Linked DNA regions of Nothobranchius furzeri. The protein of the gene in region 1 purifies or fractionates together with the protein of each later gene. This does not show direct contact. Links are inferred from orthologs where the notes say so. Each region holds a gene or a part of one and is shown on either strand. Other genes may lie near its edges. The genes, in order: vbp1 and pfdn2.

What was found.
Region 2: the proteins of vbp1 (region 1) and pfdn2 fractionate together in Homo sapiens (co-fractionation; 8 studies listed by BioGRID and IntAct, counting the BioPlex papers as one, with this or other methods). This does not show direct contact. The link is inferred for Nothobranchius furzeri from reciprocal best matches to the Homo sapiens genes VBP1 and PFDN2.

The regions. Positions count from the first base shown.
Region 1 is NC_091742.1:80,074,436-80,082,353, reverse strand, and holds part of vbp1 (prefoldin subunit 3), read left to right. Parts: intron 1-1,078; coding exon 1,079-1,203; intron 1,204-1,343; coding exon 1,344-1,410; intron 1,411-4,390; coding exon 4,391-4,489; intron 4,490-5,111; coding exon 5,112-5,250; intron 5,251-7,592; coding exon 7,593-7,669; 3' UTR 7,670-7,918. UniProt on the Homo sapiens protein: Binds specifically to cytosolic chaperonin (c-CPN) and transfers target proteins to it. Binds to nascent polypeptide chain and promotes folding in an environment in which there are many competing pathways for nonnative proteins.
Region 2 is NC_091742.1:74,818,251-74,826,662, reverse strand, and holds pfdn2 (prefoldin subunit 2), read right to left. Parts: upstream 4,460-8,412; 5' UTR 4,238-4,459; coding exon 4,157-4,237; intron 3,313-4,156; coding exon 3,224-3,312; intron 3,106-3,223; coding exon 2,982-3,105; intron 2,754-2,981; coding exon 2,562-2,753; 3' UTR 2,279-2,561; downstream 1-2,278. Other genes in the region: nit1 (deaminated glutathione amidase), read left to right, coding at 5,838-5,914, 6,171-6,404. UniProt on the Homo sapiens protein: Binds specifically to cytosolic chaperonin (c-CPN) and transfers target proteins to it. Binds to nascent polypeptide chain and promotes folding in an environment in which there are many competing pathways for nonnative proteins.

The DNA.
Region 1 (7,918 bases):
CAATGGCCTATCCAGTGTCAAGAACCAAACTGCACTTCAATAATAATTGTACATTTCTTAACCTCAATATATTGAGGCTTGATTATTGAGTTCATTTTCAGCCCTAATATGAAGGGAAAATAACACGCATTGGAGTGAACAATAATGTCACAATTAGATCAAAAGTTCAGAATACCATTATGTTTAATGTGTAAATGAATGAAAAATACCAATGACAGACTAAAAGGGTTAAAAATCAAATTATAGATACTTGTAATGCTACCAGATTTGTAGGTGATGTTCTTTGGTTACGATGAGTGGATAAACGGCATCATATTAACAATTTGGGTAATTTATTAATTACTTCAGTGATTTTTCTTCATGGCAGGAGGAAGGTTTACACCTGGACACATTCTCAGATTACAGCACCTTACATGAGTATAGAAATTCTCATTTTCTTTTGTCTTTGTCTTTAACACAACAAATGCATTAATGTAATGAGATAAATAGATTTTTTCTTTTATTATCTGTGCATCAAACCATTTTATAGAATACAGTAACTTTTTTTTTTACCAGTGCCCAGGCGATTTACTTCTGATGCTGTCAAATCAAATTTAAACTGTTCAATCAAAACTTTCTGTGAAAAGTACTTAACTGTTAAATCACACATTTTTTCTCATTTTTAACAGAAAAGCTAAAAGATCATATTTATTTTAAACAAAAGATTATATTATATTTGTATTTATAAAAATGTTTGTAATTTTTTTGGTTTGTTACATTTATTTGTTTAATCTGACACTAATTTAGGGTTTTAATTCTCACTAACCTGTTTTATGGTTTCATTTATTGTGACTTTGAACTTATAGGTATAACAAACGGAAAAGTATTTTAGGAAATGGTAAGACCTTATTTGTGCTTCCATGTTAAAAACACAAAGGCCAATTCAGAAAAGTGTAATTTCATATTTTGTCCACCAGACGGCGCTGCAAACACATCTCACTGAGACTTTAGACATTTGACTTTGTGGTATTGAAAGTCTCATTTGTGGAGTAGTTATATAGGCCTTTCTGTTTTTTAATCCCTGTTTGCTGTTTTCCAGGAGGATGTCGACTCTTTTATGAAGCTGCCTGGCAACGAGACGGCAGACTCTGCTCTGAGGAAGCTGGATGAGCAGTACCAGAAATATAAGTACATGGAGCTCAACCTGTCCCAGAAGAAACTCCGGTAAAACAGAAATACAAACACTACGAGTTATTCGGGTTACATTAATACGTGCATGAATTGATATGTGTGCACCTGGTAGATCTGTAAAGTAGGAAAGCTGGATGCTTATTTATTTAACTAAAATCATTCTTATTTAATAGGTTGAAAAACCAGATTCCACAGATCACACAGACGCTAGAAATCCTACGACACATGCAGAAGAAAAAGGTGGGTGAAGTTCTGTAAACCAGCTCCATACTGGAAGTGAGTCTTCTCCAGTTCCTCTAGAATGACAACATAGGGATGGGTGAAATAAGCTACCGTAAATCCTCTAATACAGGCCCGGGTCTGTATTTGACTCAAGCTCATCAAGCTCCAGGCCTTTATTGGAAGGAGGACCAGAATTAGAGGCAGGCCTCAATTTCTATTTGAGCAAAATGAACTAATGGTTCGCTGGAGTTTTTGACAATTAGAATTGCGCCCACATTTTCAAAGTTAAACACATTTCTTTTAACAACGGTAGTTTCTGCTTCAGCCCTCTCCCCCTGCGCAGCGGTGCAAACTCACTGATGCGCCTGCAGCCTCTCGGAGTTCCTGCTGCTCTAAACATTAAAATAATTATTTTCTGTTCCTCACTTCTGATTACCTTCAATGGTGTCTGTTTGTTGCAACCACCAGGTACAAAAACTAACTTGTTTTTATTTGACTATTTTTCTGTCCTGTCTGTTTATTATCTTCCTGCATCTCCTCTCAATCCTAAAGAGAAACTGCTACCTGGGTTCATATATATTCACCTTATGAGTTACCTTTGAGCTGCAGTTCTAAAAGATCTACCGACCACAAAAACAGCGGAGTGCTCGCTGCTTGCCGGCCGCATCAGTGATCGGTGCGTCACAGAGGACAAAACAGGTGATGCACCCCGATCCACAGCAGCTAAAAGCATCAGGCACAAATAAAAGAATAAAAGACAGAAAACATAAAAGGAAATGAGCCGACATGAACGATTGCGTGTTAAATTAGTTTTTGAGGTGGCGACACTTGATTTGATAATGTTACTGTAGCCGTGCTCAGGACGCAGATGTCTGGAGTGCGTCAACAATCAGAGCTTTGCATGCGCAAGCTGGTTAAGGTTAGGATGGGGTGAGGGGAAGGTTAAATTGCAAGAGGGTAAACGTCACAATTTGGTTAAATGTCCGTTTTACGGCGGGTGTCAGTACCGACGCTCTGGCACAGCGCGTTGCCTCCCGACACGCAGGAGCTTGTTAATTGAATACAGGCCAATATTAGAGGATTTACGGTATGCTTCTTTCTTTGCCTTTTTGAACTATTTTAGTCTGTGTTCTTTGATATAAGCTGGAAAGTCATATATGGCGAGGCCATTTAATATATACAGTTGTGGTCAGAAGTTTACATACACTTGTAAAAAATATAATATAATGGCTCTACTGAGTGTCCCGTTATTTCTAAAACTCTGATTTTTCTCTGATAGAGTGATTGGAACAGATACTTCTTTGTCACAAAAAACATTCATGAAGTTTGGTTCTTTAATGTCTTTATTATGGGTTAACAGAGAAAAGTGATCACATTTGCTGGGTCACAAATATACATACAGCAACATGAACTAGCAATTTTGTTGACTTAGAAACGTGTCAGTGAACTGAGCTTCATAGCATGGCCTCTTAACTTCTTGTGAGTGATTATGAGTGACTACAGCTGGTGACTTCTCTTAGGCCAGGTAAATAGGGCTCATTGGATACAAACGCCCACAAACGCTACAATGGGAAAGTCAAAGGAGCTCAGCATGGATCTGAAAAAGTGAATTATTGACTTGAACAAGTCAGGAAAGTCACTTGGGGCCATTTCAAAGCAGCTGCAGGTCCCAAGAGCAACAGTGCAAACAATTGTTTGTAAGTATAAGGTGCATGGCACTGTTTCATCACTGCCAAGATCAGGAAGAAAACACAAGCTATCACCTGCTGCTGAGAGAAAATTGGTCAGGAGGGTAAAGAGTGAACCAAGAATCACCAAAAAGCAGATCTGCCAAGAATTAGAAGCTGCTGGAACACAGGTGTCATTGGCCACAGTCAAACGTGTTTTGCATCTCCATGGACTGAGAGGCTGCCGTGCAAGAAGGAAGCCCTTGCTCCAAAAGTGGCACCTTAAGGCTCGGCTGAAGTTTGCTGCTGATCACATGGACAAAGATAAGACCTTCTGGAGGAAAGTTCTGTGGTCAGATGAAACAAAAATCGAGCTTTTTGGCCACAATGCCCAGCAATATGTTTGGAGGAGAAAAGGTGAGGCCTTTAACCCCAAGAACACCATGCCTACAGTCAAGCATGGTGGTGGGAATATTATGCTATGGGGCTGTTTTGCTGCCAATGGAACTGGTGCTTAACAGAGAGTAAATGGGATAATGAAGAAGGAGGATTACCTTCACATTCTTCAACATAACCTAAAATCATCAGCACGAAGGTTGGGTCTTGGGCGCAGTTGGGTGTTCCAACAGGACAATGACCCCAAACACACATCAAAAGAGGTAAAGGAATGGCTAAATCAGGCTAGAATAAGGGTTTTAGAATGGCCTTCCCAAAGTCCTGACTTAAACCCCATTGAAAACATGTGGACAGTGCTGAAGAAACAAGTCCATGTCAGAAAGCCATCAAATTTAACTGAACTTCACCAATTCTGTCAAGAGGAGTGGTCAAAGATTCAACCAGAAGCTTGCCAGAAGCTTGTGGATGGCTACCAAAAGCGCCTAATTGAAGTGAAAATGGCTAAGGGACATGTAACCAAATATTAGCACTGCTGTATGTATATTTGTGACCCAGCAAATGTGATCACTTTTCTCTGTTAACCCATAATAAAGACATTAAAGAACCAAACTTCATGAATGTTTTTTGTGACAAAGAAGTATCTGTTCCAATCACTCTATCAGAGAAAAATCAGAGTTTTAGAAATAACGGGTCACTCAGTAGAGCCATTATATTATATTTTTTATAAGTGTATGTAAACTTCTGACCACAACTGTATATATATATATTTTTTTTTTACTTACTTTTGTTGTTTTCTTTCTTTTGTGAATTCAATATTATTTAACCTCGTTTGAGAAGAAAAAAATCATGAAGTAGCTGATTCTACCCCTAGACCTAAAGGACATAGGTAATGGAATTCCTTTTTTAATTTATTGTGGTACCTTTTGTTCCCACAGGAAACTACGGAGCGAATGGAAACACACTTCCTCCTAGCTGACAACGTTTACTGTAAGGCCTCGGTGCCGCCCACTGACAAAGTTTCTTTATGGTTAGGGGTGAGTAGCACTCAGGATGATGTCTGGTTTTATGGTCTTTGACTCGATTACAGTGGTGATCTGGTGTTTGCAGCTTCTGAAGTGATTAAAATAACCTCAAAGGGACAACCACACAACAGATTCCAGCTTATTGAGCTGTTCGGGATTGTTGTTCATGTTTATGACCCAGATGGACTCACATCTGACTCTATAGCACTTTAGTCTACAGAGAAGTTCATGATCCACTCAATGGCTGTAATGAACCCAAACCATCAGTCTTCCACCACCGTGCTGACAGCTGATACCACGGCTTGTTCTAATGTGCTGTGGTTGGTTTTATCCAGACAGTGCTATACATTATGGCTAAACATGTCTGCTTTGGTTTCGTCCATCCCTTAGGCCACTTTTCTCTCTGATGTTAACACACACCTGTATGCTCCAGACCAATACACCTTTGTAGAGGTGAAGATGATCATTGAATCAATATTTTCCACTTTCCGTTGGACTTCATTTGACTTTATTATAGTTTATTAAATAATGATGTCGAATCTGTTGTGTTTTGTAGACTTTGGGTTAGATTAAAACCTGATCACTCATTATATCATGGAACATTAAAGAGGACCAAAACGTTTCTCCCCTAAAGGCTAACGTCATGTTGGAGTATGACATCAACGAAGCCCAGGCCCTCCTGGAGAAGAACTTGTCCACAGCATCTCGTAACCTGGAGACCCTCGAGGAAGATCTGGATTTCCTGCGAGACCAGTTCACCACCACTGAAGTCAGTATCCTTCCACTGAGTGGTCCACTCTCACTGATCTGTGTCTATGGATGGCCACATGGATCAGAGGGAAGATTTGGAGACTTTGACCAAAAGAGAAATGACCTTTTCAGATCAGAAATAATTCCATTAGCTATCCTTTTATTAGGAAGGAGGTCACTGGTGACACTGGTTCAGTAAGTCACAGGACATGCAGTGTTTTTATAGTCATGAACAACATGGTGGGAATTAAAGTAAGTGAAGAAATGTGATCATTGTTATTGCATATTAGAACAGCCTAGATGGTAACATTTGTTCCAGCTGGGTGTTGTTTCAGTCATTAACTCTTTGTTTGGTTTGAGTTGAAGTGACTCAGCAGATCCACAGGAAACTTAAACGGCTCCAGAGGTTGCGAAGGTCAACATTTATTTAGTTCAGACTGGGAAATTATAGCCACTTTTACCCTGTTTACCAAAAGATTCAGCAAGTTTTAAACGATAACTCATTTTATCTAAGGTCACATGAGGTCACACAGGCTGTTTTTGTAATAGTGCAGTACAAATTGCATACGTCCTCGTCAAATCAGCGTCTTTTTCTCAACAGTCTTTCAATGTACATATACATATTATAATACATCATTAGAAAGCTGGGAGTCTTGTGATTCCAATGATAAATGGTCGTCGTCGTCTTCCTCCGCTTATCCGGGTCACGGGGGCAGCATCCCAACTAGGGAGCTCTAGACCGTCCTCTCCCCGGCCTTCTCCACCAGCTCCTCCGGCAGGACCTCAAGACGTTCCCGGACCAGATTGGAGATGTAACTTCTCCAACGTGTCCTGGGTCGACCCGGGGGCCTCCTGCCGGCAGGACATGCCCGAAACACCTCCCCGGGGAGGCGTCCAGGAGGTATCCTGACCAGATGCCCAAACCACCTCAACTTGCTCCTTTCGATCCGGAGGAGCAGCGGTTCTACTCCGAGTCCCTCCCGAATGTCCGAGCTCCTCACCCTATCTCTAAGGCTGAGCCCGGCCACCCTACGGAGGAAACTCATTTCGGCCGCTTGTATCCGCGATCTTGTTCTTTCGGTCATTACCCAAAGCTCATGACCATAGGTGAGGATTGGGACGTAGATCGACCGGTAAATCGAGAGCCTGGCTTTGTGGCTCAGCTCCCTCTTCACCACGACATATCGGCTCAGCATCCGCATCACTGCAGACGCCGAACCAATCCGCCTGTCGATCTCCCGATCCCTCCTACCCTCACTCGTGAACAAGACCCCGAGATACTTAAATTCCTCCACTTGAGGTAGGACCTCTCCCCCGACCCGGAGTTGGCAAGCCACCCTTTTCCGGTCGATAAATGGTGTTTACAGATTTAACCAGTTCTGTAGACACAATAACAGCTTGTTACACCACTCAGAAATTCTAAATATGGTGCTTACAGTTCAAAGCCTCTTCACTGACAGAATAGAGCAATCTTGAACAGTTATTTGTACATCCACAACGGTCCAGTAGAAGTACTCCAATAAAATAATTAGCTCACAACAAGTCTTTCATCCACAAAAGAATAAATAAATAAAGCTAACGGATCTCTGAAACCCTACAGAATTTCTTTCAGATGCGCCTTTCTAACCATAAACCCCGTAGGCACCTTCATAATAACTTCAAACTTTCTATCATTCATTGGGTGGATGGTTGCCCCCTCTCCTGGGGCAAAATCTTCAGTGATTAGCTGGTGGGTCAGAAGTGCCCCCCCCCCCCCCCCCCCCCCCCCCACACACACACACACACACACACACCCCTTCTCACATGTGTAGTTTAAACCAATTGCAGCTAAGTATGTTGATGAATTGGCAAATAGCCGATGAAATCCAGAAAACGACTACCTCTAACTTAACCAGCCCCTCGAGGTCGGCTTTGGCAAATGTGGTAAGGCTGATGGCGATTGTTGGATTGTTGTGTGTCAGGCCCACAAACGTCACCCATAGTCGTTTTGGACCGTTTGAAAACATTTAACGTATCACCCATCCTTATCGACCGGTTTTGATTTTTAGTGCATCTCTGCTACTTACCGACATCATTCATCTAATTACTGATGTGTGTCTTCTGACTTGCATTAAGATTAGTACTGCAGTCTGGAATAAAAGCAGACATTTTGCTTTTAGATCAAATGTAGCACCCCTGAGGTTTGAAAAAAGGTGAAACCTTGGAGTTGGTGGGCGTGTCTACCTTCCCTTTGAGGTTCCAACAAAAGTACATTTAAAGCTACAGTGGTTCAGAAACCTGCTGACATGGCCCTTTAGGTTGATTTTTTTTGTGTTTTATATCACGGTGAACCTTCTGGTTTCTCTTAACTCGCTGCTCCCCTCAGACATGGCACGGGTCTACAACTGGGACGTGAAGAGGAGGAGCAAAGAAAACCTCCTGAAGTCTGCAGACAAGTCTTAATCTAACAGGACTGCCCCCCTCTGCTAACGTCCTTTCTCATCATTAAAAGTAGAAACCATCCCTAAGTGTGTTCGCCCCAGAGCTCAGCTCAACGAGGACACGTCTGAAACAGTTCTGCTCATTTTGAATGTTCAAACTTTTAGATTTTTCTGTTTTAGCGTCAAACAAAGTTAGACATCAAGTCCATGTCACAGTTCAGTCTAGATTTTCAACGTCTCCTCCATTGAGCTGAGCTCAGACTTCCACCAC
Region 2 (8,412 bases), about 5.3 Mb from region 1:
TGCTGTGGCCTGACCCAGCCCACAGACAAGAAGAGGTCCATTGATAACATGTTTAGTCATTCTATGTTTTTCATTTTATGTATTTTTTTTCACTGTCATTGTACACTGTAGCACAATGGACTGCAGGCTGTTTATGGTACAATAAACACATTGTATGGCCCTGAACATTGTGCTTTCTGTTTTTTGGTTTACTGTTTACTGACTGCTTGTTGGTATATGTAATTTTGAGTAATTTGTTTGCGATTCGAGAGTAGTGTTTGATTTTGAGCACAGCTAAAACCGTTTTGAGGCGAAAGTTTGATTTTGCAAGAGGAATGAGAGGTTGTGTAAATCGTGCTTGAAGCTGAGGTTTTGTGTTTGATGTTTTGAGAAAAGGGAGCAAGGTTTCAGGAATTGTGCTTTAGCAATTGAGAAAAACTGTAAATGTGATCATGTTTGCCAATTTCACAAATTTGATACAGTAATTAAAAGAAATACTTCAGTTTGACCAAATAATTAAAACAGCCAGCAATTTTCGTGAAGTACGGAGGAACCATAAACAATTGCAACTCAACCGGAACAAGTGAGGGAACAAGGTTTTATCTTGTCAATACTGGTAATGGTCACTTATCTGTTTCTCACCTCTCAATTACCAATCTGCAACGTTTAGTCAAAACGAAAACACACATAAAAACTCAAAACACCTACCTGAAGACTTACTCCGGCAAGGAGAGAGGGACGCTTGCCTGCACAAGCACACTAGCTGTCAAGCCAGACTAAATAAATATATTATTTAAATTTTGCAAAGCAATTATTTGGTCTAGCTCACAAGGCTACGAGCACGCCATAATCAAATGTGCATGGACAAATCTGAGGTCAGGTTGAAGGGATGAGCGAAATCTCTCAGTTTCAATGTTCCATTTCCGTGCAGGGTTTAACCAATCAAATGTTCATATTTGTTCCAACTTTTGAGAACCAGACTTTTGGGTGCAAGCATTGGACCAATCAGTTTTTGGGCGCCAGTCAAAAAGCTGGATAGTCTCCCTCCGAGTCTCAACCATGCTTACACAGCTTAGGTTCTGTAACTACACATAAGTACCTTTTAGACTTGTTTTAATATTAAAATATAGTTTTTGAAATAGGTTTTCAAAGCTGTACAGCGCTGTTAGTCGTTTTATGGAGACCTTAGTTTTTTGGGCTGTCATGTGATGAAATCTAAAGTCGTTTAGCTAGCTTGCTATGATTGCTGCTTTCCGCTAGCCTAGTGAACCCAAATTCTTGCCTTGCAATAATATATTTATTAATTCTGGCTAGCCAGGGTAGCTTTCCGCTATTACCACAATATAGGCCTACGCATGTACTTTGGCAACTTTTTTTATGAACATAAATCATCTTGATTGTCCTAACAACATCGTTTGAGTGTTTATCCAGTTATTGATTCGTTACTGATTCACTTTATCTTTGCAGTATTGGAAAATCCAGCCAACTGGGTTTGCTAATTAACCTTTGGCTACAGAATCTGTTTTTTTATTATTTTTTTGTGATATTGTTATAATGTGCTGTGGTCATGTGTAACATTTAATATGGTCCGTTTATATGTTACTCTACAAGATAACAAAAAATTAACTAAACGAAAAGTAAGAAAATTTTAATGTCTTTCATTTAAATAAACCCATGTTTGGGCTTCTCCTGTTCGTTTTTTAGACATTTTAACAAATTTCAATATGCCTTTGTTTTGAAAAAACAGTTAAAATGGTGATAAAAATTTTTGTTGATCACTTTTGGATTCAAATTTTTTTTTCTAGAATGGTTCGTTTGAAATAAGTCTGAAAACACGTTTCAGAGACTGGCTTTTACTTTGAAAGCGTTCATAAGCACTATTTCCGTAAAGCTTTGGAAGTGTGTGCAGTGTAAAAACCGAGTGAGAGCTCACTGTACTGTCGAGTTGAGGCAGGCTCTGCCGCAATGACATAATCTGGTGAGCATGAGAAACCTCTTCCTTTTCTCCATTTTTCCTTTTGTGTACTGGCTCCTGTTCATGAGTCACGTTTAATTATTTGTTGTTTTTCAGTCCTTTACATCCTTTTCGCAAAAATGTACATCATTTTTAAAGCTTTGTGCGTTTTCAAAGCTGACATACCAATAAATTTCGATTGTGTATGCTTAATGACAATGCAAAAGGATCTAATTCTGACATTAACTTTTTTTTAATGTCTTTAAAAATTTCATCCCAGTGCAACAGGATTTATATGCTAGATGAGAAAGATAAATGTTTTTACTTATGTCAGCAACTTCAAAATCCTTTTTATGGCATTTTAATTTATTTGCTGAATGTATGACAGCATTTTAAAAAACATCTGCAAGGCAAATGACCTTAATGAGGACATAAACAACTGAACAGAGAAGCAGATGACCATGATTATTACAACTTCCAGGAAATTACAGTTAAACAAGAAAACTAAAAGGAACATTATGAAAAGTTCAGTTTTCCACCTAAATTCCTTGACTTGAGCTAGTTTTCATTTCTTCTTCAGTGCTGCAGAAATAACAGGGCACTGCTGTCCCTGTCCATCCTCAAAGCATTATGAGACCAGAACTCCTGCTCCACTTTTGGATCCTCCTCCTTCATTGTCTTGCGAGTTTGCTGCCGACTGGCCCTGCGCCTCTCCTTCACCCTCTCCAACCAGCCGGATATTGTAACGTTCTCTGTACTCTGTGAGCTCCTGTCCTTTTGCCTGCATCTGTGTGTTGATGGTCTCGATTATTTTGGAAATCTATTAGAACAGAGGAAGATGGATGAGAAATCAGACAAACGAAACATCCTGCAGTTGACACCTAAACGTTTATTTTTGACTTCAAAACCTATAAACAAAACTCTTTCTTGTGAAATTATGTAGATTAACTCGATGTACACTTATTGTTATTTTGGTGTTAAATAAGTGATTTAAAATGTCTCAGTTTATTCTCCTGATCATTCCTGTGACCGAAATAAATAACATTACCTTTTCTTTGTTGTTTTCTAAGGCTGGTAGAACTTCTTTTACTGTCCTTTCCACCAACACTCCTCCAACCAGACGAAAGCATTTCCTGGAAGGATCCACTTCCTTTAGGGTCTCAATTACTAAACTAAATATGAAAAGAAATAGCAAAGGTATTAAACGGTCTGTCTTTTGGATTGTTTCCCCTACAAAATCTTGTGAAACATTTGTGTCTAGAACATAAATGTAGATGATGCTCCACCAACCTGTGCTCGTTGACATCCATCTCCAGCTCAGCAGCTTTCGAAGCCATACTACGCTGCTCCTGACGCATCCTCTGAAATGTTGCTACCACCTGAAAACAAATGGAATTTGATCATTTTTTTATTAAGTATAATAAATAAATAAAAAACAGATGCTGCTACTCCTTAGTTGTCTACTGAAACCAAACTCTTAAAGTCATAACTGGTAATTAGCATATTACAATTTTGTTTAAAAGATTATTAAATAAATGTACATAATGCAGCAACTCATTAATGGTAAAGGTTTAATTTTATTATCAGATTTAATCTACAACTTTTTAGAAGTAGTGGACATAAACTTTGTTTATTTGATGGTTTTAATCACCATTTACGCAGAGTCATAGACTTTATATGTAAGAAAATAACAAAAAGGTTATGATACAATATGGCAATATTTACATTTTATTATTATTTTTGTAAAACCTGATCAATAAAGGTTTTGACACATATTTGAAGGTATTGCTCGACTCTAATGTTGCCATTATTGTTGTTAAAGGATATATTACGGACTACAGTGCACTGTATTACAGACATTACAGCAGTGATTTGTTTAATATGGTCTGAGTAATAATTTATTAGGGTTAGGTGGACAAAAATAGCTTTATGCTTAGTCACACCAAACCAAACACATTATTTCAAAACCGTAAATACATAGACTAACGTAAAAATTGTTAGAAGTAAGAGTTTGATGTAAACTCTCATAATGTCCTTATTAGACTCCTAACGGTTCCCGATGTCCAAATTTGGGTTTTGAGCCAGATGATCGCGACAGGAATGCTAATGTTAGCTTAGACTAGCTAGGGGCTATACTTTTAGTTCTGCTTTACCAAACTGAGCCAAACAACAACAGAAATAATTGTAACGACAAATGAAACCTTTTTATATAATTGAGAGTACCTGTTCAGCTGAAAGTCCGGACTGTTTTCCGCCGGCGCTGCTGCTGGACTTGCTACCCGTGCTGCTACCGTTCGCTGCCATCTTGGAAGGGTGTTGCCAATTAGGACCCTGCAGCTATCTAATGAGATTGCCTGAGTGCAAATGCGGCTTGTAAAACATCTAAATTACTTTGCAACCATCTTTTACTTTTTCATGTAAAAACTCAGAAGCAGAACCGCAAACAAAATACAACTTAATTCAACATAAAATAAAATGGCATTTGAAGGAATAATTTCTATTAACTTCCATCAACTTTGTATTGTTTTTGTTTTTTCGTGCATACGCTTTTTTATTTTATGTTTATGTTTATTTATTTGGCAGAGGCTTTTATCCAAAGTGACTTGCAATTTATAACGTATGGGGCATGTTTTGATCTGTGGGGGAAACAGGAGTACCCGGAGGAAACCCACGCATGAATGGGGAGAACACGCAACACGCAGAAAGGCCGCAGCCGAGTTTCGAACCTGCAACCTTCGTGCTGCGAGGCAACAGTGCTAACAACTGCGCCACCATGCAGCCCATTTTCCGAATCTAGCTTATTTATTAAAGCAGTTTCTGCATCGTGGAGTTTTAGACGTGTTTTTTCTCTTTCAAATATTCTTTATTTCAGCCAAAGGACATATTAATCATTAAATTAATTAATTTGCACACCGCCAAGACAAGACAAGACAGCTTTATTTGTATAGCACATTTCCTATACAAAGGTAACTTAATGTGCTTTACAGCAGCCTATAGGTAACATCAAAAGCAAAACAAAAATGAACAAAAATAACAAAAGTTTTCATGTTAGACAATAATCAGAAGCACACCGTACATAAATTAAAATCAATAATTAAAAACAAATGAAGAAATACATGTAAATTTTTAATACAAAAATACACTTAAATGCATTTATCGACATTTTTTTATTTTTATAATTCAAACGCTGTAAAGGACTGCTGAAAGCGGATTAACCTCATACAGACCTCTAGATTTTTATTTGCTCTGGGGTTTTCAGAAGATTGAACACATTAAATGTGTTGTTTGAATTTGTTTTCAAAAGCAACAATGCATGGTTTAGTGCACCTGAACTTAAATTTATTAATGTAAAACTTTGCCATAATAATCAGAATGATTACGAAAAGAGTTGTAATTGAGAAACACACAATATTATTGTCAATATGTCTTCAAAGTTGACTGAAATGCGACGTATACGTGCTGTTTATATCTTATTAGTGAACTAGACCAAACGTTTGCTTTGCAAAATAATATATTTATTCAGTCTGGTTTAAGGGTATTTTTGATAGTTATTTATAAACCTGTGTTATATTTGAATGATTATGATGCATTTATAATACTTTAAAAACAATTTTAGGAGTATAAAAACATTGCCAACTCAAAAACTATTCCACATCCTAAAACAATGGACTTTTCATTACATTTAAAGTTTTATTTTATTTTATTTATTTATTTTTGTTTTTTTGTTATTACCACATATTGTTATAAAAAGTCTCCAGTAGGTGGCAGTAGGGTGCTATATGTACATTTCTGGTCATTTTTTGCATCGCAGAGAAGAAGGGGCTGCTCGCGTTATGTAATTGTCGATGGTTAACCAAACGTTATAATAACACCAGCTGGGTTTAAACTCCTCAGGTGACGCTGTATGGGACCAATGTCCAGGTGCATTTTGAGATCGTCTGTGAAGTACTTGGCTTCTCTGCCGACGTTGCTGCAAAACAGGTGCGTTTGTTTATAAGTACTGAAACCAAACAACGCACTGCTAGATTTTATAAGAATTTTGTCACGTGCATTTGTTCTGCAAACAACAAAAATATGGAGCATAAATTCTCACATATTCACGATTTGTGTCACCTGGAGGAGTAGTAAATGTGTACAAAATGCAACATAACAGAGACAGGAATCAGGGAGCAACCATCCCTGACTTGAAATGCTTCATCTTGTGATCACTGGATTTGTAAAAGTTTGTTTTCCACAGGATGTCCAGCTCACGTGCCCCGTTGGCCGCAGTGTGTCAAGTGACATCTACCCCTGACAAGGAAGCCAACTTCTCTGTCTGTGAGCAGCTGGTGCAGGAAGCTAAAGAGAGAGGCGCCTGCATGGTCTTCCTGCCTGAGGGGTTTGATTACATCGGGTCCAGCAGAGAAGAGACACTGTCCCTTTCAGAGACACTGGGAGGAGACACGATCTCAAAATATGCTCAACTTGCCAGGTTTATTAACACATTTCGAGTTTTATTCTAATGAAACTTTGTGAAATGTTAAAGAAGTTAAAAATGAAATTCCATTTTTGGTTCCTATTAAAACACAGGAAAGGTTTTTCTTTACCTTGCTGCTGACGCAAACGAAACGTATGTCAGCAGCAAGGTAAGGAAAACCCTTTCCTGTGTTTTAAAAATAACCAAAAATGGAATTAGAAACTAAACACAGTAAGAACGCACCAAAGAAGTTAAAAATCAGTATACTTGTTTGCTTCATACTGTCTCCTCCTTGAACCGTCTCCTTATCGTGGTAGAGGAGTTTGAGTGCCCTAATGATCCTAGGAGCTATGTTGTCTGGGGCACTTTGTGCCCCTGGTAGGGTCTCCCATGACAAATTGGTCTTAGGTGAAGGGTGAGACAAAGAACGGTTCACAGGATCTTTCATGGAGGTAAAGTCAAACAGTCGGAGTACCCGGCCCGGAGGGTTACCGGGGTCCCACTCTGGAGCCAGGCCTGGGGTTGGGGCCCGTGAGCGAGCGCCTGGTGACCGGGCTTTCACCCATGGTGCCCGGCCGGCCCCAGCCCAAACCAGATACATGGGCTCATCCAACTGTGGACCCACCACCCGCAGGAGGAACATGAAGGGTCCGGTGCAATCTGGATCGGGTGGCAGACCAAGGCGGGAGCCTTGGCGGTCCGATCCCCGGACAAGAAAACTGGTTTTTGGGACATGGAACGTCACCTCGCTGGCGGGGAAGGAGCAGGAGCTTGTGGCAGAGGTTGAGCGGTACCGGCTAGATATAGTTGGACTCACCTCGACACATTGCATTGGCTCTGGAACCCAAGTCCTTGTTGTCCTTGTTGTACACTCTCCTTTGCTGGAGTTGCTCCGGGTGAGAGGCGGAGGGCTGGGGTTGGCTTTTTGTTAGCCCCAAGACTCTCTGCCTGTGTGTTGGGGTTTACCCCGGGGGACGAGAGGGTAGCTTCCCTGCGCCTTCGGGTCGGGGAATGGGTCCTGACTGTTGTTTGTGCTTATGGGCAAAATATTAGTTCAGAGTACCCACCCTTTATGGAGTCCCTGGGACGAGTGCTAGATAGTGCTCCATCAGGGGACTCCATTGTCCTGCTGGGGAACTTCAATGCTCACGTGGGCAATGACAGCTTGACCTGGAGGGGTGTGATTGGGAGAAACGGTCCGCTTGATCTGAACTCGAGTGGTGTTTCGTTATTGGAGTTCTGTGCAAGCCGCAGTTTGGCCATAATGAACACCGTGTTTGAACATAAGGATGCCCATCGGTACACTTGGTAGCAGTGCAGCCTAGGTCGCAGGTCGATGATAGATTTTGTAGTCGTATCATCTGACCTGCGGCTGTATGTTTTGGACACCCAAGTGAAGAGAGGGGCGGAGCTGTCAACTGATCACCACCTGGTGGTGAGTTTGATCAGATGGCAGGGGAAGATGCCTCGTAGACTTGGCAGACCCAAACGCATAGTGAAGGTCTGCTGGGAACGCCTGGCAGAAGAACCTGTTAAGACGGTCTTCAACTCCCACCTCCGGCAGAGCTTTGACCACGTCCTGAGAGCAGTGGGGGACATTGACTCCGAGTGGGCCTTGTTCCACTCTGCGATTGTTGAGGCGGCTGTTGCTAGCTGTGGTCGCAAGGTGGCCGGTACCAGTCGTGGTGGCAACCCCTGTACCCGCTGGTGGGCACCAGAGGTTCGGGGAGTCGTCAGGCTGAAGAAGGAGGCCTACAGGGCGTGGCTGGTCTGTGGGTCTCCGGAGGCAGCAGACAGGTACCGGATAGCCAAGCGGAGTGCAGCAGTGGCAGTTGCAGAGGCAAAATCTCTGACCTGGGAGGAGTTTGGTGAGGCCAAGGAGAAAGACTATCGATTGGCTCCAAAGAGGTTCTGGCAAACTGTTCGGCACCTCAGGAGAGGAAGGCAGCAACTCGCTCACACTGTTTACAGTGGGGATGGGGAGCAGCTGACATCAACTGGGGCTATAGTCGGATGGTGGGAG